Linked DNA regions of Elephas maximus indicus. The protein of the gene in region 3 interacts with the protein of the main gene of each other region in a pairwise test. Links are inferred from orthologs where the notes say so. Each region holds a gene or a part of one and is shown on either strand. Other genes may lie near its edges.

Region 1 (7,868 bases), on a different chromosome or scaffold from region 3:
ATAAAATCTAATTAGATAGCTTAAGCAAAAAAAAAAAAAAAAAATTTCAATTCATACCAAATTTTAAAACTGAGAAGGGATGATTTGGAAAGATTTTAAATGATTACATTAACACAAACCAAACCTGTTGCCTTCAAGTCGACTCTGACTCATAGCGACCTTATAGGGCAGAGAACTGCCCCACAGTTTCCAAGAAGTGGCTGGCGGATTCAAAAGGCCAACCTTTTGGTTAGCAGCTGTAGCTGTTAACCACTTCTCCACCAGGGCTACTTACTACCTCATGTTCTGAATGCTGACGTTTTCACAAGAGGCAGAGATTGTTCCTTCCCCAGATGCCAGATCCTGTGTCCCACGTGCCTTTTTACGCTAATTACTACAGAAAGGGTGTGAGGGTTTTTGGGTCATTTCAAGTACAGACCAGTAGCAAGAATACATCTAACTGGTATTTACATTTAAGCCTTTACCCCTTGTGGTATTTTAAAGATTGTTTACAACATGAAGCATAAAAAAAACGTAAAACACACAAAAAAACCAAAGTCAGGTGACGGTAAATTGAAAACGTTTATCAAGGGCAGGTCCACACAAGCTGTACTTGCTTCCAGAGGCCACCTCTCATGTCCTCCGTAATTTTGCTGCCTTCAGATCTGTGTGGAAAAGTGCAGGATGAACCAGAGTCCAGTGCTCATCAATGAGTAAACCTCATTTCCCCTCGTTTAACAATTTCCCAGGTAAGCCTGAAATGCCAAAAGAGCTGTTTTAATTAGCACTTGGACTTCATTGCCTCCATAAAGCATGGCCAGCCAGAAGAGTTATCTGTCACTTCTCCCCATCTTCAACAAAGGCAAGCCCCCATCTCATCTGCACTCTCCATTGAAAAAATCACAAAGTACTACCCGCTTCTAATTCAAATTCAGTGACAAACTTCTACTGAATTTAGATCAATTAAGCATTTATGGCCTGTGAACTCCATGCAGGCACTCCGCTCCATACTGAAAACAGTAACAGTCAACATCTCCACGTGCTTTCAGCATGCCAGACAACGAACGAGCTAGGTATTTTACAGTCATAGTCTTGTTTAATCCTCACACAACCCTAGGAGGTAGGTACTACTCTAAACCATTCTACCGCTTAGGAAACTGACGCTTGCTTATGAAACTGGCCCAGCGGTCCCATAATGCCTGGTAACTGGCCACGTTGGGAATCTGGTCCCACGCAATCTGACACTAGAGCTTCCATCTGAACTCAGTCCTTCCAGGGCTCTAGAGCTGAGGTGGCACTGTTACTAAGGAGCGCTCATCGGCATTCCTGTAAGCATTTACTTGTAAGCATTCACCCCTGCAAGCATCTACCTGCAAGCATGCATATAGTTCAGAGCTTCCATTTATCCAAAAACGTTTTCAGGGCATCCCTTTGTAGTCTTCTCAAGGGCAAGAAGCACGTGGGCCAACCTGAGCCAACTCGGACTACACTGATTCAGGAAACAGGAAATCCCTGCCTGTGGCAACCTGAGTACCAACAAACTTTAAAATATAATTTTAAAATGAAGACAGAACTGCCTAACCCTGGTACGGCTTGATTGGTTGCTTTTCCTGGTGACAGGTACGTTCTACAAAGTGACGCTAAGAGACAGTACAGACAAGTGCGACCTGTCCGATTACAGTCTGCACAGAGAGGTCGGACCCACGGGCTTGGGGTCCCCACTGACGCATTCCCCGCTCTCCAGGCCCAGCTGAGGTCTCCGACCCCCGCCCTCCCCATCCGCCCCCACCCCCTACCCAGGGCCAGCGGGGGGTCTCTGCATCCCCCACCTTTCATGCCCTGTCCGGGTCTCAGCGTCCCCCGCCCTCCAGGCCCGGCCCAGGTCTCATAACCCCTCGCCCCGCAAGGCCCAGCGCGAGTCTCCGAGCCCCTGCCCTCCAGGCCCAGCCCGGATCTCATGGCCCACTGCCCTGCAGGCCCAGCTGGGGTCTCCGCGCGCCCCCCCCCCTCCCCCGCCTCCTGGCTCAGACCAGGTCTCTAGGACCCTGCCCTTCTGGCACAGCCCAGGTCTCATAACCCCTCGCACCCCAAGGCCCAGCGCGAGTCTCCGCGCCCCCTGCCCTCCAGGCCCAGCGCGGGTCTCAGACCCCCTGCCCTCCAGGCCCAGCGCGGGTCTCAGACCCCCTGCCCTCCAGGCCCAGCCCGGGTCTCAGAGGCCCCTGCCCTCCAGGCCCAGCCCGGGTCTCAGAGGCCCCTGCCCTCCAGGCTCAGCCCGGGTCTCAGAGCCCCCTGCCCTCCAGGCTCAGCCCGGGTCTCAGAGCCCCCTGCCCTCCAGGCCCAGCCCGGGTCTCAGAGGCCCCTGCCCTCCAGGCTCAGCCCGGGTCTCAGAGCCCCCTGCCCTCCAGGCTCAGCCCGGGTCTCAGAGCCCCCTGCCCTCCAGGCCCAGCCCGGGTCTCAGAGCCCCCTGCTCCAGGCCCAACCCGGATCTCAGCGCCCCCTGCTCTCCAGGACCCACCCAAGTCTCCGGCCCCGCCCAGACTGCTAAGCTGAGTCACCGCGTCCGTGACCCCAGAATGGCCAGGCCCGAGGCTGGAGAGTCGGGTCCACGGGCCCGGGCCGCCAATTGGGCCGGGCCGCGCCCCCGGAGCCGCACTTCAGCGGCCGGGCGGGGGGCGGCCTCCGCACTGCTGACTCTCCCAGGCAAAGCAAGCCAGACTCTGGGCCGTCCAGCTCTGAACCCCAAATGAGGACTATGGGGCGTCCGCGGGCCGGGCGGTCCACCGAGGCCGCGACCGAACGGCGGGAGGGAGCCGGCCAGGCCTTCCAGTGGGGCCGGGCCTCGCGAACGGCCTCCGCCACGGCTCCTAACTTCCGCCGCTCGCCGCCCCGCTTACTTGGCTTTGACGGGCAGGAGCTCCTCAAACTGCCTGGCCGAGCCAACCTCCACCACGGCGGCTGCCGCCTCGGGCGCCCCCGCCGCCATGCTGCCGCCGCCAGACAGGAGCAATCGAGCGCGGGCGGCTCGGTGGGCGGGGCCGCGACGCCGGCTCGCTGCGCGCAGGTGGATCGCCGTCCCCCGCAGGACCCGCCCCCGGACCCGCCCCATCCCGGCCTGCGCCGGCCTCCCGCGGGACCCGCCCGGTAGGCCCCGCCTCCCGAGCGACTTGCCCCGCAGGGCGCCGTCTCTCGCGCCCCGCCCCTCCCGGCCTGCGCATGTCCCCTTCGGACCGGCCCTGCAAGCCCCGCCCCCTGCAGGCCCCGCCCCTCCCGCGGCCCCGCCCCGCAGGCCTCTTCCGTCCCGCGGGCCCCGCCCCAGAGTCTCTGTACTCTGCAGCCGAGATCGTGAAACGACAGAGGCCGCGCTGGCGCCTGGCCCAGGCCAGGGGTTTCCACTGGGAACCTGGAATCCTCATGCCAAGGGTCGTGACTGTCAGGTAGCCATGTGGCTGCGATACCCATTATGGTGGCCATAGGGCTACTATAAGCATAGACCACAGGACCGTAGGATTGATTCGAAATAGCCAGTACCAGTCCATTTCCGCTCTCTGATGCCTAGGATCGCTGAGTCGGAATCCACTCAACCGCAGTGGGGTTTTTTCATGCCTAGGACAGCGATCTTTTTGCATTTCACTTAATTTTGACGACTTCAGTTTTCCTAGATTCAACCACATATGTCTGCATTCCACCTTCTGATCACTAATGGATGTTTGCAGCTGTTTCTTCGCATCTTGAGTCGTACCAAGTCCGCAAATGAAGGTCCCGAAGCTTTACTCCCTTTACATCATTGAGGTCGACCATACATTGAGGCCCCAGCCCTGGTGGCACGGTGGTTGAGAGCTCAGCTGCTGACCAGCTGCTCCTTGGAAACCCCATGGGGCAGTTCTACTCTGTCCTAGACTGTTGCTATAAATCAGAATGGACTTGAGGGTGGCGGACTTTTTTTTTTTTTTTTTTTTTTTTGATACTTTGAGGAGGCAGCTCTTCCCCAGTCTTCTTTTGAGTGTCTTCCAACCAGATGTGTTCCTCTTCCAGTACTATATCAGACAACGTTCTGCTGCTGTTCATCAGAAATTCAAACCGGATTCAGAAGAGGCCGTGGAACCAGGGATATCATTGCTGATGTCAGATGGAGCCTGGCTAAAGGCAGAGAACACCAGAAGGATGTTTACCTTGTTTTATTGACTATGCAAAGGCATTCGCCTGTGTGGCTCATAACAAATCATGGATAACATTGGGAAGAATGGGAATTCCAGAACACTTACTTGTGCTCATATGGAATGTATACAAAGACCAAGAGGCTGTCATTTGAACAGAGCAAGGGGATACTGTGTGGTTCAAAATCAGGAAAGTTGTGTGTCAGGGTTGTATCCTTTCACCATATTTATTCAATCTGTATGCTGAGCAAGTAATCCGAGAAGCTGGACTCCATGAAGAAGAACGTGGCATTAGATTGAAAGAAGACTCATTAACAATCTGCAATATACAGATGACACAACCTTGCTTGCTGAAAGTGAAGAGGGCTTGAGGCACTTACTGATGAAGATCAAAGACTACAGCCTTCAGGATGGATTACATCTCAACATAGAGAAAACAGAACTCCTCACAAATGAACCAAAAGCAACATCATGATAAACAGAGAAAATATTGAAGTTGTCAAGGATTTCATTTTGCTCAGATCCACAGTCAACGCCCAGGGAAGCGGCAGTCAAGAAACCAAGTGACGTATTGTATTGGGCAAATCTGCTGTAAAAGGCCTCTTTAAAATGTTAAAAAGCGAAGAGGTCACTTTAAGAACTAAGGTGCATGTGACCCAAGCTGTTGTATTTTCATTTGCCTCAGAGGGATGCTAAAGCTGGATAATAAGTAAGGAAGATTGAAGGAGCCCTGGTAGCGCAGTGGTGAAGTGCTTGACTGCTATCCAAAAGGTTGGCAGTTTGAACCCACCAGCCACTTCACAGAAGACAGATGTGGCAGTCTGCTTCTGTAAAGATTACAACTTCAAAACCCCACGAGGCAGTTCTACTCTGTCCTTACTCGGTTGCTGTGAGTCAGAATCGACTCGACGGCCATGGGCCTCTAAGTGTAAAATATACAACTGATTCAAAGATTCAGTATAAAAAAAGTAAAATACCTCATTTATGATTTTGATACTGATTATATGTTGAAATGATAATATTTTGAATATATTGGATTATATGAAATATATTGATAAAATTAAATTTACCTCCTTTTACCTTTTTAATGTAGTTACTAGAAAAATTTAAATTACATGGAGGCTTTCATTTATGGCTCACTTTATTTATTTATTTACTTTTGGATTTTGTATTTTCTGTGGGAGGGTGTTGCTGCAGGGATTAAAAGTGGCCTTTTGGAGCCACGTTACAGGTTGTCTTACACTGAGAAACGGATTTACTGAAATTGGTACATTACCTTATTTAAAATGCAACGGAACTGTGGTGAGAAACTGTTCTGTATCTTCTTGAGTGTAGTGGAGAATACGTGAACCCACACAGGTGATAAAATTGCACAGAATTAAATACACCCACACAAGAGTGAGCAAAGTAAACCTGGGGAAGTCTGGATAAAACGAGTAGGTCACGTCAATATCCTAATGGTGATATTGCTCTGTAGCTTGCAAAATATTACCACTGGGGAGACTGCCAAAGGTGTTCAATGGGGGGGGACCTTCGCTTTTTACAGGATGCACTTCTGTCACTGCATTTTTTCAAAGAGCATGGATTGGCTTTGTAATTAAAAATATACTGAAATTGTGATGCACCAGGGAAATGGGCCATTTTGAGTCGTTTTCAGAAGAGCAGTAATCACCCCTCTAACACGTTGTTGTTGTTAGGTGCCATCGATTCCGTTCCGACTCATAGCGACCCTATGCACAACAGAACGGAACGCTGCCCGGTCCTGCGCCATCCGTTGTTACGCTTGAGCTCATTGTTGCAGCCACTGTGTCAATCCCCCTCGTTGAGAGTCTTCCTCTTTTCCGCTGACCCTGTACTCTGCCGAGCATGATGTCCTTCTCCAGGGACTGATCCCTCCTGACAGTAAGTCCAAAGTATGTAAGACGCAGTCTTGCCATCCTTCCCTCTAAGGAGCATTCTGGCCGCACTTCTTCCAAGACAGATTTGTTCGTTCTTTTGGCAGTCCACGGTATATTCAAAATTCTTCGCCAGCACCGCAATTCAAAGGCGTCAACTCTTCTTCGGTCTTCCTTATTCATTGTCCAGTTTTCACATGCATATTATGCGATTGAAAATACCATGGCTTGGGTCAGGCACATCTTAGTCTTCAAGGTGACATCTTTGCTCTTCAACACTTTGAAGAGGTCCTTTGCGGCAGATTTACCCAATGCAATGCATCTTTTGATTTCTTGACTGCTGCTTCCATGGCTGTTGATTGTGGAACCAAGTAAAATGAAATCCTTGACAACTTCAATCTTTTCTTCATTTATCATGATGTTGCTTATTGGTCCAGTTGTGAGGATTTTTGTTTTCTTTATGTTGAGGTGTAATCCATACTGAAGGCTGTGGTCTTTGATCTTCATTAGTAAGTGCTTTGAGTTGTCTTCACTTTCAGCAAGCAAGGTTGTGTCATCTGCATAACGCAGGTTGTTAATGAGTCTTCCTCCAATCCTGATTCCCCATTCTTCTTCATATAGTCCAGCTTCTCGGATTATTTGTTCAGCATACAGATTAAATAGGTATGGTGAAAGAATACAACCCTAACGCACACCTTTCCTGACTTTAAACCAATCAGTATCCCCTTGTTCTGTCTGAACAACTGCCTCTTGATCTATGTAAAAGTTCCTCAGGAGCACAATTAAGTGTTCTGGAATTCCCATTCTTCGCAGTGTTATCCATAGTTTGTCATGATCCACACAGTCGAATGCCTTAGCATAGTCAACAAAACACAGGTAAACATCCTTCTGGTATTCTCTGCTTTCAGCCAGGATCCATCTGACATCAGCAATGATATCCCCGGTCCCAGAAACCAGCCTGAATTTCTGGCAGTTCCCTGTCGATATACTGCTGCAGCCGTTTTTGAATGACCTTCAGCAAAATTTTGCTTGCGTATGATATTAATGATATTGTTCTATAATTTCCACATTCGGTTGGATCACCTTTCTTGGGAATAGGCATAAATATGGATCTCTTCCACTCAGTTGGCCAGGAAGCTGTCTTCCATATTTCTTGGCATAGACGAGTGAGCACCTCCAGCGCTGCATCTGTTTGTTGAAACATCTCAATTGATATTCCATCAGTTCCTGGAGCCTTGTTTTTCGCCAATGCCTTCAGAGCAGCTTGGACTTCTTCCTTCAGTACTATCGGTTCCTGATCATATGCCACCTCTTGAAATGGTTGAATATCTACTAATTCGTTTTGGTATAATGACTGTGTGTATTCCTTCCATCTTCTTTTGATGCTTCCTGCATCGTTTAATATTTTCTCCATGGAATCCTTCACTGTTGCAACTCGAGGCTTGAATTTTTTCTTCAGTTCTTTCAGCTTGAGAAACACCGAGCATGTTCTTCCCTTTTGGTTTTCCATCTCCAGCTCTTTGCACATGTGATTATAATAATTTACTTTGTCTTCTCGAGAGGCCCTTTTTTTACTTCATCAATTCTTCCTTTTGCTTTAGCTGCTCGACGCTCAAGAGCAAGTTTCAGAGTCTCCTCTGACATCCATCTTGGTCTTTTCTTTCTTTCCTGTCTTCTCGGTGACCTCTTGTTTTCTTCATGGATGATGTCCTTGATGTCATTCCACAACTCATCTGGTCTTCGGTCACTAGTGTTCAATGCGTCAAATCTATTCTTGAGATGGTCTCTAAATTCAGGTGGGATATACTCAAGGTCATATTTTGGCTCTCGTGGACTTGCT
Region 2 (6,256 bases), on a different chromosome or scaffold from region 3:
AAATAAAAAAACAGGCATTTTCAAATGGCTTCAGCTAGAACGTCAAGAGCACTGGAGGACATTCAAGGGCCATTTCATGTGTTTCTGAAGCATTTGGCAATCAAAAGATCTGTTGATTCCAAGCACAATAAATAGATAAGGTATATCTTTGTTACAATTTTTTTTTTTTTTGCAGCATTGCCAGAATTAAAAACAAAACAAAACAAAAAAAAACCTCAAGTGTCTATAGAGTGGAAAATACCAAAAAGAAATATTGAAACTGTATTTAGTAATAAAATAGTTGGCCTTTAATCATTTCCAATTTAATTATATTTAATATAAACCCCTCCGCCACCCATGGTGATAAACGAAACACATCAATTTTCGAACAATTTATAATAGCCAAAGAAGGGGCTTACGTATGTTTATTAATGGAACTCACTTTTGCATTTAGTTTTTAATAAATTGCTAATCCATTTTAGCCTCAATTCAGTCTCATTTCACTCCTCAATCCCTTTCCTGGTGTCTAATAGTTAATGTCCTGTACCATGAAGAGGGTTTCCTGTGGCACTTCGGGGTTCATCTGCTTTGGGCTGAAATAATTACAATTTATAAAGTTCTCTCCTTCTTCTTCAGACCCTACTAGGATTGATAAAGGCATTTCCAGAGGCAAATGGTTCTCTTCCTCTCTCTGGTCATCCTCCTCCATCCTCTCCTCTTCTTCTATATCTTCCTCTTCCTCCTCTTCCTCCCCCTCCTCTTCCTCATAGTCAGCTTCTTCCACCTCTTCACCATCAGCCTCCTCCTCTCCACCATCGGCCTCCTCCTCTTCATCCTCGGCCTCCTCCTCTTCATCCTCGCCCTCCTCACCCTCCACCTCTTCATCCTCCTCCTCACTGTCCTCATCACACACTTCTTCCTCACACTCCTCATTATCGTTTTTCTCTTCTTCCTCTTCCTCCACCTGCTGCGGAGTGGGAGACCGGTTTTCCTCCGTGGGGGCAGGTCTGAACACTAGAGAGGGATTCTGCACAAAGCCGTACAAAATTTCCTGCAGCTCTGCGTCTTCCTCGCCGCCTCTGGGTGGCGCATCTCCTGCACAGGAGGCCGCTGGGGAGGCCGGGCCGCCCGCCTGAACCTGCTGTGCCCGCAGCGCCTCCTGCTGGCGCTCCAGCTTCTCCTGCTGCCGCATGTCCTCGTAGATCTGGTTCATGATGAACTGGGTGGTGTTACGCGGCGCGCGCATGCCGGGCGCCCGCCACCCATACAGGTTGACTGGCCGCAGCAGCATGCTTAGATCCACCGGCGGGCTCCTCGGGAAGGAGCGGCGAGGGGGGCGGCGCAGGCCGCGGCCCCTGCGGCCCCATCGCCTCTTCCTGCCAGAGGGCCTTATCCAGCTGGGGTTCCGGGGTCCGTGCCAACAGGAGCAGCAGCAAAGGCAGATTGGCTGCAGGCCGTACACCCGGATCATTTGCACCCGACCAGGGGCCTTCCAGAATTCCGCTGGGGGTGGATGCCAGGGACCTCCCCAACGCCCCCGGTTGGAGTACACGGCCCTATAGGGCTGTCGAGGAGGGTAGCCCCAAGGGTCTGGGCCGTGCTGTTGCTTCGGCTGTTTCCTCGGGGGCTCATATTCGGCCTTGGGGCCATAACGGTATCGCCGCTTGTAAATCGACGCGCTCCTGCGCCTTCGGTGGGATGAGGACCAGTTGCGTAACGGGACCGAGGACGCCCAGCCGCCACCCAGATTAAGAGGGTCCTCCCTTGTGTCTACGGTCTGGTTCATGGTTCAGGAAGCCCTGAAAGATCTAAATGGTAATGTCCTAGAAGCTGTCCTCAACTTCGGCCAGATCCGACCCTCTGGAGAGTCTTGTCACCTGTGTCTCTCCACTCAGTGCCACGTGCCTGCCGCTAGGATCACACCTTTCTCTCCAGGAGGTCCCCCTCTTCCGCTCTTTCGTCGCAATCTCTTGTCCTTCGCACCCGGGTTGTCTTGCCCAGGTGGGTTGGGTGGGACTGGGGCTGGGTAAGGATGGTGGGGGAGGAAGGTGTTGGTGGGCAACGCGCAGTGAGACCCGCTCCCGGATCCCACACACGCCTGCCTCTGCCGAGGCGCGGGTTGGGAACTAGGGAGGCAGGGGTTACGCGTTACCTTGGGGCTCCCTCTCAACCCAGGTGCTTCACGGTGGCCGTCCTGGCCGGACTGAGGTGGCGCTGGGTCGCCGCAGCCTTTAAATACTGGCCAGGGGCCCCCGCGTGCCCACCGCGTCTTTGGTTGCCTCGGGCAACAGCCAATGGGGTTCGAGGTCGTTCTCCCTGTGCCTGGAGGCGGGTTCTGGCCGGGAACAAGGTGGCCCGTGAACGTTCTTACAGGGCTTGTGACGAAGTTTTTGAAGGAGGGGAAGAGGGGCCAAGGCTGGGGTTTGCACTGCTGAAGTCTGCGGCCCAACTTGGCAACGCTTAGGGCAGTTCATTTGCACTGTACCACTACTACCCTGAGGGAGGGGATACAGAAGACGAGGGGCCTTCAGCTCAACCAAGGGTATTGCGGGGGAGGATTTAGGTATTGAAAAGTATATATCTTACCCTTTGAGCTTCTGAGGGGATAAAAAGAAAGCTTCTAGAATCAGAAAACCTGGGCTCCACTCCTTACCTCACAGCTCATGCCCTTCTTTTAACTCCTGGTAACTGCAATTCATTATACATAATGCAAGGACCTCTAACATTTATTACTTGTGCTTACTGTACACCTGCGAGTGGCTCATGGCGTGCTATCTTCACATTTGTCCTGTAAGGTAGTGTGATGGTTAATGTTATGTGTCAACTTGGCTAGGCCATGGTACTATGTAGTGTGTAATTACCCTACATTTTGTGATCTGATGTAATTATCACCCATTTCATGATATAGTATGATCACGTCCATGATGTGATCTGATCTGATCAGCCAATCATTTGTAAGGGGAGTTTCCCCTGGGGGTGTGGCCAATGCCAAATATATATATATATATATATATATATATATATATATATATATATATTTATACTTACATTTTTATATATATATATAAACATTTTGGCAGAGGCCAGTTGCTTGCTCTGGCTCCTGTTTCTGGACTATCATCATCTGACTCCTGTTCTTGGGACTTGAGCCAGCAGCCTGTCTCCTGATCTGCTGAATTTGAGATTTGCTGGCTTCCACAGCCCTGTGAACCCGCAGCCTGCTGTCTGACCTGCCTATTCTAGGTTCGTCAGCCCCTGCAGCCACATGAGTCAGGAGAAGCCTCCAGCTGACAGTTGGCCCATGGACTTCGGGAACTGGCCAACTTCCACAACAGCATTAGCTATTTCCTTGAGATACATCTTTCTCTCTCTCCCCCACAGACACATACACACACATGCACATAGACATATATACGTATATATGCTTCGCTGGTTTTGCTTCTCTGGAGAACCCAGCCTAAGGCGTATATTATTACCACCTTTCACAGATTAAGGAACGGAGAGGTTAATTTGCTCAAGGTTGTGGGGTTAATACATTTCAGGCTAGAATTTAAATCTAGGCATATTAGAACCCAGAGCCCAAATTCCTATGGACATTGCTATACCCATCCACCTTAAGTAGGGCTCTTGCGATGAGTAAATGAAATACATATGGAAAGCACTTTGAAAACTGTAATACGCCATACAAATTTCTGCTGATTAAACAAACACTATTATTACCAGTTTGTATACCGTGGGTTTGTTCTTGAAAATAGAGAATACAAATATTCTGACTATGATTTTCCTTGTATCTCTTCATTGCCCATCATACGGCATATACATTGGGAGCTTTTTGTCACATTGTGGTTAAGAATGTAAATAAATAAGAATAAATAGACATGGTTCAGCTTTAACATACTGATTATTATCCTCTGGAGCCCTGGTGGTGCAGCGGTTAAGAGCTACAGCATGCTAGGGCTGCTAACTAAAAGGTCGGCAGTTGGAATCTACCAGCTGCTCCTTGGAAGTCCTGTGGAGCAGTTCTACTCTGTCCTAGAGGGTCGATATGAGTCTGAATCCGCTCAATGGCAACAGGTTTAGTTTCTTGATTTTGGTTATTATCCTGTCAGCCTCATCCTCCTTACCATAACCAAAAAACCAAACCCAGTGCCATCAAGTCGATTCCGACTCATAGTCGGTTCCGACTCATAGTCGGTTCCGACTCATAGTCGGTTCCGACTCATAGTCGGTTCCGACTCATAGTCGGTTCCGACTCATAGCGACCCTCTAGGACAGAGTAGAACTGCCCCATAGAGTTTCCAAGGAGTGTCTGGCGGATTTGAAGTGCTGACCCTTTGGTTAGCAGCCGTAGCACCTAACCACTACGCCACCAGGGTTTCCAATAACATGAGTATAATAATAGTACCTAGTGCATAGGTGGAAACTCTGGTGGTGTAGTGGTTAAGAGCTATGGCTGCTAACCAAAAGGTCGGCGGTTTGAATCTATCAGATGCTCCTTGGAAACCATATAGGGCAGTTCTACTCTGTCCTATAGGATTGCTATGAGTCAGAATCGACTCAATGGCAATGGGTTTGGTTTTTTGTATTTTAGTGCATAGGTAGAAGCTCTGACAGTGCAGTGGTTAAGAGCTCAGCTGCTAACCGAAAGGTCAGCACTTCACCCCACCAGCTGCTCTAGGGAGAAAGATGTGGCAATCTGATTACATAAAGATTACAGCCTTGGAAATCCTGTGGGGACAATTCTAGTCTGTCCTATAGGGTTGCTATGAGTTGGAATTGACTCAACAGCACACAACAACTACAGTGTGTAGGTTTATTTTAAGGATTTAATAAGATGCTGCATTGAAGTGATTAGCACAGGAACACAATGAGCACTCAACAACTGTTCACTAGCGTCATTGTCATACTGAAATATTTCAAGCATTTTAAAAGGTGTAATACAGCACATATAAAGACACCTAACTCTGTGACTAACACAAAAATAGATAGGCCATCCCCTGTGTCCTTTTCTTGTCCCACTTTGTAGAAACATCAATCAAGTACTCCCAGGTTTGATCCTAGAAATAACCATCCCAGAGTATATTCCTTTATTACTTTTCTGTGGTGAGCGGAATTGTGCAAAATGGAACACTGCCTGCTGGGAGCTCAAGTCTATACAAGCCTCCATTAAATGACAGAGAAGCAGAATGTGCAAAAGCCCTGAAGCTTGCAAAGGTCATTGATTCATTCTTGTTTGAAAATTGAGAATGGTATGGGAGTTCTTGGATCAGGACTCCAACAGTTGCCTTGGGACCTGTAGACACCACAGGCTTCATTCAATTTCATTTGCTCTGTGGTTTGCTGAAGACAAGACTGCTTGACTCAAAATGCATTATGCTGAAACTTTTAGCCTCCAGTGTCCCCTTTTCTGATTCTAGATGTAAAATCACACATCTGGCAGTTACCTTCCTCCTGCTCTACTTAACTCAAAATGGAATGGTGATATTCTAGATTTGTTTTTCTTAGGGCATATGTGGTAGAAGATACTGCGTTTTGATGGAAAGCTTTAGAAATGATCAAGTTTCTCTAGTGGAATTCTGTCTTAGGCTGGGTTATCAAGAGAAGCAAAATCAGTAAAGCCTGTAAATATATACAGAGAGATTTATATCAAGGAAAAACCTTACACGATTGTAGGGGCTGGAACATCCCAAGTCCTTGGATCAGGATACAGGCCTTTCCCAATTCGTGGAGCTGCAGAAGCTGGTGAACCCAAGATGAGCAAGTCAGAGAGCAGGGCTCCCGATCACAGGCCATGACAGTAGAGGAATCCCCAAGGTCGGCAGGCAAGACCACAAGGTTTCTCCTGATTCATGTAGCTGCAGGGGCTGGCGAACCCAAGATAGGCAGGTCAGGGAGCAGGACTCTTGCTCAAAGGCTGTGAAGATCGACAAATCCCAAGATGGACAGGTAAGCTACTAGCTGAAGTCCCAAGAACCAGAGGTCAGACAAGAGACAGCTGCTGGATCCAGAACAAGCCAGCAACCTTTGCGAGGTGAGCAGGAAGGAAGTAGGAAGTGAAAGGTGGAAAGATGAAGGCTGAGGGGGTGGTGGGCTGCCACAGGCCCCACCCCCACCAGTGCAATTCAGCAGATTCCATCATGGGGCTGATCACGTATCACATTTCAACAGGGAAGTGATCACAACATTATACAACTGCCAAAACACTGAGAATCATGGCCTAGCCAAGTTGACACACAGTCTTAACCATCACAAATTCCTATCAGTTTCTTGTTTGTTT
Region 3 (7,929 bases):
GTGAGCAGATACAGGAAATAGAAAACTAACACAATAAAGAATTACTCTACGTGCTATGAATAAAAGTAAATGGTGCTATAAAAAAGAATCACGGGGGCACTAATTTAGATGGTGAGACACTATCAGGAAAGTCAGCTCTGACTGAAGAAAGTCCAGTAACAACCATCATGTGCCCCTGGGTGTATGTAGGAGGGGTGCCATGACAGACAGAGGGAACCACACGTGTCTAAATCATGAGGCTAGAGGGAGCTTGGCTCATTTCCTCAATTAAAAGGTCGGTGGGGTTACACAGCAGAAGAAGAGAGAGAGAATCCCAGGAAAAGATGGAGAGGTCTACTGGGGCCATTTCACACACATCTAACATTTCTTCACTTCCAATGCTAAGTAAGCTCTCAAAGGCCAAGCACGGTCAGTCTTGTCCAGGACAAGGTGCTTAATTGATACTTACTGAATTAACCTGTGTGTGGTATTATTTAATTCCTTCCACTCTGTAAAACAGTTACCTTACAGATCTGAAAGCTGTTTAAACTAAAACCCTGCTTTTTACATTCCACTTTCCTATCCACTGCAGAAATCCACTCATTTCCTTTTGTTTGTCATGGTGTTTGCTCTTGTTGAAAACCCCACAACTGTGGTAAAACCCACGGTGGCATTAAAAGAAAATTCTGCTGTTGGGAAAGCTTAGAGAAGAAAAAGAAAGCCAAAACTTCGTGCCCCTTCGCACTAAATAGTGCCACATGTACTAAGCACGGAGCCCTGGTGGTGCAGTGGTTAAGAGCTAAGGCTACGAACCCAAAGGTCAGCAGTTCGAATCCACCTGCCGCTTCTCGGAAGCCCTATGAGACAGTTCTACTCTGTCCCATAGGGTCACTATGAGTCGGAATCCCCTGGACCGTAATGGGTTACCGGTACTAAACATGAATTGCAAATTTTTTTTCTTTTAAACTTCTATGGAAAACAACGGCTGCCTGTTCCTGGTACACAGAAGTGAGGTGCCAAGACTTCCAGGAGTAACTATGGGTAAGTGAAATCACATAGGAAAACCTGACAGTGAGCTTGGACAAGCAAGGGTCGTATTTTTAGCAGTATTAGGTACTGCTCAGGAAACCCTGATGCCGTAGTGGTTAAGTGCTACAGCTGCTGACCAAGTGGTCGGCAGTTTGAATCCGCCAGGCGCTCCTTGGAAACTCTATGGGGCAGTTCTACTCTGTCCTATAGGGTCGCTGAGTTGGAATCGACTCGACGGCACTGGGTTTGGGTTTGGTTTGGTTTGGTTTGGTTTAGGTACTGGTCTAATTACATCACATGTGTTGATGTCTTAACCCAGTTTCAGAGATGAGGCAACAAAGGCACATACATGAAATACAGGCAGCCCCCGCTTATGAACAAGATCCATCCCCAAGGGTCTTTAAATTGAATTAATAGATAAGTCAGAACAGATACATAAGATTCTTATTTAGCATCAAACGTTTGTCTTAGCATATATTTTACCTTTCAAAAAAAATTTTTTGTGTGTGCATACAAATCACTAAGAAACACTTCCCAAATACACTAAAGTATCTTAAGCCTACAACTCAAATGTTTAATACAATAGGCTTATGGCAGTCCGTTCTTAAAATAAGTACCAGTTGTTCTTAAAACCCAAACCAAACCCACTGCCATCGAATCGATTTCGACTCATATTAAGTCGGATGTTTTTTAAACGGAGACTGCCTGTAACTGGCTCAAAGTCCACGGATACTAAAAGACAGAAACAACTGAAACTCAAAACAGCTTAACGCTGGAGCTGGTGGTCTTACCACCACACCGCCTCTATCTTTCGGTTTCTTTTCCTAGTCTAGGGTGCTCAGCATAGGCTGGGGCTAAATGACAGCTGGATGACTCTATTAATCGTCTCTTCTAATACCTCCAACAAGCTGCTCTAACAAACCCAGCTTCTCGAATGGATTCAACACGGCTCTCTGCACTGCAAAGCAGCGAAAACAAAGCCCAGATAAGGCAGTTTCGGGCAGGACCAACCTTGTCATTGGGAAAGGTCGGGGCACGGCCCGGAGAACCGCTGGGCCAGCTAGAGCCCCTGGTGGAGACCCCGCTCCACTTCCGCGGTCGCTTCCCGAGGCCGCCCCCGGCCCCCGGCCCCCAGCCCTGGTGCAAACAGAACCCGCGGGCCCTCGCGCACCTCCCCAAGCCGCGCCCGCGCCAGGAGACAGAGAAACCGCCCACCTGGGGCTGCCCCCAGCCGGCGCGGCGCAGCCCGAGAGCCAAGGCGCCTCGGTGCCCCAGGACCCAGAAGACCGCGCGGGGCCGAGGAGCTTCTCCCCGGACCCCTCGGCGGTCGGGTATGCCTGGTTACATAACTTCTCTGAAGTCTCCGAGAAAAGGGGCCGCGAAACGACCTCGGCGTCGAAACCCGCGGCTCCCGGTGGGCTTCCTGGAGCCCAGGTATACCCAGTGCGCCCCTCACCTGGTCCCCCCGCTGGCGCCGAGGTCCCGTGGCTCCTGGAGCCCAGGTATAACCAGTGCGCCCCTCACCTGGGTCCCGCGCTGGCGCCGAGGTCCCGTGGCTCCTGGAGCCCAGATATAACCAGTGCGCCCCTCACCTGGTCCCCGCGCTGGCGCCGAGGTCCCGTGGCTCCTGGAGCCCAGGTATAACCAGTGCGCCCCTCACCTGGGTCCCGCGCTGGCGCCGAGGTCCCGTGGCTCCTGGAGCCCAGGTATAACCAGTGCGCCCCTCACCTGGTCCAGCACTGGCGCCGAGGTCCCGTGGCACCTGGAGCAGACCGGCCACCCTGGGGAAGTCCGCCCCGCCCCTCCCTTGCCGGTGGCAGGGGCTCAGAAGACGTTAGTTCTGGGGTTATCGCTGAAGCCCAGGAATGGGAGAGGCCCCACCAGCTGTGACTTGGAAAAGAGGAAAAGTCAAAACTCAGATGCGGCCGCCCGTGGGGAGGAGTTGGAGCGGCCTACGCAGCACTTCCTTTATCCCGGCGCTGACTACAAGAGTCAGGTTCCTGCTGCCTTTCAAAGGTGGGGGCTGCGGGGTTGGAGGGAGGGGGGCGGGAGCATGAATAAATCGGCGTCAAGATTGTTTCTTTTTTGCGTGTGTTTCACCTCCCGCTCTCTTGCTTTCTTTGCATCAAATGATGTTTGGAAACTTGTTTTGAGTCATACTGACCAAGTGTATTTAGAAAGTTTCGTTTTCCGCCCCCGCGACAGGAACACAGATGTGCAATAATAAACAAGTAGTTGTGGAACTGAACGGTTCCTTGATTTTTTTTTTAATTTTTATTTACAGTAGTAACACGTGATGTTTCAAACAATAAAACCGAGAAATAGTCCCTCTCCACCCCTATCCCCGCTTCTCTCCCCATTCTACTGTGAACAGACTAAGAGGTAGAGGTTGGAAGGAAAGGAGAGAAAAAAAAAAAAGAGGTTGGAAGGAAAGGAGAGGAGATAGACATTGCAAAGGATGGAAACAGGCGGGAGGAAACTGAACCACCTTCGCTGGAATTCCTTCTCCTCCACTTAACCAGCTCTGTGACCTCGGGAAAGTGACCTGCCAATCTCTGTGCCTCTTTTTTTAAATGTTAAGTAAAAATTAAAAAAAAAAAAAATCAAGGAACCCTTCAGTTCCACAACTACTTGTTTATTATTGCACGCCTTTGTTCCCGTCGCGGGGGCGGAAAACGAAACTTTCTGAATACGCTTGGTCGGTTTGACTCAAAACAAGTTTCCAAACATCATAGTAATAGTATCTATCTAATAGAATTTTTATAAAGGTACAGAATTTAAAATAAGGAGCTTAAATAGTGCCTGGAACAGAGGAAGCGCTTAGTAAACGTTATATGTTGTTGTTACACAAATATGAGTATGCAGATCTACCAACGGTGTTTTTTTTACCTAAATAGGATTGCCTTTCTTCATCTAACGATGATCTTGGAAATCTCCATATCTCATACAGATGTGATAATCTAGGTGTAGTTTGTTTCCATTTTTTAATGATGATTCATTATGCTGTAGCCATCATCCTGGCATGTCTGCTTCTGTACACAGGGCTTGAAAACCATTAAGACAGGGAGCAAAGGCCCTGAGATCGGAAGGTGCCTGTTTGAGAAATAGCGAAGAGACTGGTGTGGTTAGAGCAGAAGCAAGTAAAAGAGAAATAGACTATACTACCGGGGAGGTAATAGGGAGTTGAGTGTGGAGACTAGGGGCTTATTAAGACAAGGAACAGAGGGCCTCCCAAATCTGCAGAGTACCAAGAAATGGGCCAGGGCGCAGAAACAAAGCCATTCCCCAGAACAATGGGGCAGGATATGTAAAAATAGCCCACAAACTTCTTTGAAGTTGCCTTTCAGAAGCAGCTGGAGAAAACCAGGCCCGGAGTCAAGGACAGAACATCCACCTGTGACGGCTGTGTGACCTTCTGCCAGGGGCAGTGAGGGGCTACAGGCCCAGCTGAGGAATCAGACCCCAGGGAGGGAGAAACTGTGCAGGTGCAGCAGCCCATAATAAGTATTCCTATGAATCCCAGAGGCCTCCAGGACAGGAGCCATCTGTTGTTCTGTGAGATGAGGGTAAGCGTTGCTCTAGGCCCTCCTGGTCTGCACTTGCAAGCCTCTTCAGTAAAGCTTTGCTTGTGTGGAAAACTCTGTGTGCCTTACCTGCTCATTCTTGACCAGTGACAGGCAAGAACCTTATTCCGGTAAGACCATGTCGTTTGATTCTCCCATCAAAATACGAGAAAGTCAATTTTTTCACGTGTCTCTGGTTCTAGGATTGCTATTGTGATTGGCAAATGCAGTATTATTTTACTATTGTTTTTGTTTCTTAATTGTGATTGTTAATGAGGTTGAGCGTAGTTTTACGTGATTATTGATCATTTTACCACTTTATTCTATAATTTGTCTTATATTAATGTCCATTTTGCTTTTTCGACTGGGGTATTTCCCCCCTCACTGATTTGTTAGTATTCTTTATACATTTTGCATTTGAATTCCTCTTGTATTAAAAAAGGTATGATTCTTCTTCCCAGAGGCCCTTTGGCTTGTAAGTTATTTAAAGTGACTTCCACCATTCATAAGTTTTAATTTTAAATTATCTTTTACTTTTTCATTTTGACTTCTGAACTTCACATTTTATTTTTAAAAGCCTAATGCACCCCCAAGACATTCACTATGATTTCTTCCTGTTTATTTTCTAATTACTAAGAAATTGGGATATTCCAGTTATCTTTTTCTTATTTGCAATTGTGTTTTGGTCCAAGAACGTACACTGTCTGGTTTCAGTCATTTGAACTTTTTTGGAGGCTTGCTTTATGACCCTTTGCTAGGTTTTATACATATTCTGCAATTATTTGCAAAGTATGTGTAGACTTCAGTTGTTGGTTACAGTGTTCTATTTATTAGGTCAGATTTCTTAATCATGCTCTTTGTTTCAACCTTTTCTTCATATATTTTGAGGTTATATGATTAGGCAATAATAATAATAAAAGTTGTTATCTCTTCCTGGTGAATTGAACCTTTATCATTAGTGTCCCTCTTTCTTTTTTTTTTTCTTTCTAGTAATGTTTTCCCTTTAAAGCCTGTTTTTTCTGAAATTAATGTTTGTTCTTATAAGTCTAAGATTTTATAAGGACAAGTAAATACATCAATAGACTCCCCCGCCCCACGCTTTTCCATCATCAAGGTCAGGAGAGGCAATTTTTCTCTGTGCTTTGTGCTCTTCCCTTCTGTGGGGTTTACTCTTCTTTCGTTTTACAAGGTGGCAACGCTTTTCCTTCAGGTGGGCCCTGATCATTATCTGTGTCTTAACACCTTTGCAGTAGCCAAAGTAGATGTCCAAGGTCTCCTGTGTTCAGTAAAAACTTCCTGATTGTTGACTTTCTGCTGCAGATGGGGAAGGAGGGCTACAAAGATCTAGTAACTTCCATATTCAGTCTTGTTTTTCAGCCTCTTCTCCCCCAATACATATTGTGTTTGTGAATCTCAAGGCTCTTTTGGTCAGTTTTTATACAGAAGAAATCTCCCATCCCTTGCTTAGGGTGGTATACACCATTGTCAGCGTGGGGTTAGTGAATGAGGGGGGTGAATCAGCCTCTGAGAATTCAAGCATTTCTCATTTTTATTTCTAAGCTTCAACTTTCAACTTTAACCTCACCTTTATTTGGCACCACCGAGCCTCTCTGGGGGTTTTGTGGCTGTGAATTGGATCTCCACATTCTCTTAACCTTCTTCATCCACTTTAACTTGCGACTTCCTGTCTTGCAAAATCAGCTATCATGCCTGCATCATCTTTCCAGTACCTGCAACTTGTTGAAATCATACTCTCCAAAATATATTCTTGTCTTTTCATCATCCTTGTAGCTTTTCTCAGCTTTAGGTTTTTTGCTTGTTTTTTTTTTTTTTTTAACTGACTTTCATTTTATCATCATCTCTGAAGAAAATTACCACTTTTAATCAGAGAACTTCTGGGTATGATATCAACTATTGGTGCCTACCCAAAATTCAGCATCTGTTTTTACATGCTGAAATACTGGTTCTCGAATTTTGGTATGCATCAGAATCACCTGGAAGTCTTTTTTAAAAAACTGCTGGACCCAAGAGACAGAAGGGGCCACATGAACCAGAGACCTACATCATCCTGAGACCAGAAGAACTAGGTGGTGCCCGGCCACAATCGATGACTGCCCTGACAGGGAGCACAGCAGAGGACCCCTGAGGGAGCAGGAGATCAGTGGGATGCAGACCCCAAATTCTCATAAAAAGACCAAACTTAATGGTCTGACTGAGACTAGAGGAATCCCGGCGGCCATGCTCCCCAGACCTTCTGTTGACACAGGACAGGAACCATCCCCGAAGACAACTCATCAGACATGAAAGGGACTGGTCAGCGGGTGGGAGAGAGATGCTGATGAAGAGTGAGCTAATTGTATCAGGTGGACACTTGAGATTGTGTTGGCAACTCTTGTCTGGAGGGGGGATGGGAGGATAGAGAGAGAGGGAAGCAGGCAAAATTGTCAAGAAAGGAGAGACTGAAAGGGCTGACTCAAGAGGGGGAGAGTAAGTGGGAGTAGGGAGTGAGATGTATGTAAACTTACATGTGACAGACTGATTGGATTTGTAAACGTTCACTTGAAGTTTAATAAAAGTTATAAAAAAAAAAAAAAACTGCTGGGGCCCCACTTCTAGAGTTTCTAATTTAGTAGGTCTGGACTGGGGCCTGAGTCTTTGTTTTTCTGACAAGTTCCATGTGAGATACTGCTCTTCCGTGGACTACACTTCAAGAACCATTGTGCTAAAGGAACCCTTTTCTTTCAGGTATTGTAGAGCAGTAGGCTCATGGAGGGCAGGTCCTAACCGCCCCCCGCCCCCCCGCATAAAAAAAAAAAAAAAGAATTTTGTTTAGTAGACAATCTTAGTAATTCCATCCTTCTTTCCCCATGATAAGTGAATCATATGACTAGCTCTTCACCAAAATTGCCTCTCTTGACCTTGAAGATGGAAAAGGTAGAGGAAGGAATCCATATATTTATTTATTTTGGTATAGACTTGTTGACAAGTGGTTGTCCAGCCTGGGTTTACATTTCCTTGCATCTAGTGTGACCATGAGACTGAGTTAACCAATGGAATGTTAGAGGAAGAAACAATTTGTGGTCCCTCCAAGCCAAGGTTTTTGGAAAACAAGTAAGCTTTTCCAGTGCTGTTTCCCTTTATCAGAAGATGATGAGTTGCTAAGGGATGGTTAAAAACAAAACAAAAACCTGTTTTGTGTGGAGTCAATTCCAACTCAGAGTAGAACTGCCCCATAGAGTTTCCAAGGAGCACCTGGTGGATACAAACTGCTGATCTTTCGGTTAACAGCCATAGGTCTTAACCATTACACCACCAGGGTTTCTAAGGGATGGTAGAGCTATGAAACAGAACAACCCTG

The links. The genes of interacting proteins can lie anywhere in the genome.
Region 1: the proteins of PLSCR1 (region 3) and GLRX3 interact in binary tests that used the Homo sapiens proteins (3 or more experiments, as listed by UniProt). The two-hybrid records come from large-scale screens. The link is inferred for Elephas maximus indicus from reciprocal best matches to the Homo sapiens genes PLSCR1 and GLRX3.
Region 2: the proteins of PLSCR1 (region 3) and CCER1 interact in a two-hybrid assay, tested with the Homo sapiens proteins (2 studies listed by BioGRID and IntAct). The two-hybrid records come from large-scale screens. The link is inferred for Elephas maximus indicus from reciprocal best matches to the Homo sapiens genes PLSCR1 and CCER1.

Annotation. Positions count from the first base shown.
Region 1 is NC_064834.1:80,051,871-80,059,738, reverse strand, and holds the start of GLRX3 (glutaredoxin-3), read right to left. Parts: upstream 3,006-7,868; 5' UTR 2,963-3,005; coding exon 2,874-2,962; intron 1-2,873. UniProt on the Homo sapiens protein: Together with BOLA2, acts as a cytosolic iron-sulfur (Fe-S) cluster assembly factor that facilitates [2Fe-2S] cluster insertion into a subset of cytosolic proteins.
Region 2 is NC_064822.1:155,350,604-155,356,859, forward strand, and holds CCER1 (coiled-coil domain-containing glutamate-rich protein 1), read right to left. Parts: upstream 1,766-6,256; coding exon 506-1,765; downstream 1-505. UniProt on the Homo sapiens protein: Regulator of histone epigenetic modifications and chromatin compaction into the sperm head, required for histone-to-protamine (HTP) transition.
Region 3 is NC_064841.1:13,289,387-13,297,315, reverse strand, and holds the start of PLSCR1 (phospholipid scramblase 1), read right to left. Parts: upstream 3,018-7,929; 5' UTR 2,737-3,017; exon of another isoform or gene 2,533-2,736; intron 2,488-2,532; exon of another isoform or gene 2,465-2,487; intron 1-2,464. UniProt on the Homo sapiens protein: Catalyzes calcium-induced ATP-independent rapid bidirectional and non-specific movement of phospholipids (lipid scrambling or lipid flip-flop) between the inner and outer leaflet of the plasma membrane resulting in collapse of the phospholipid asymmetry which leads to phosphatidylserine externalization on the cell surface.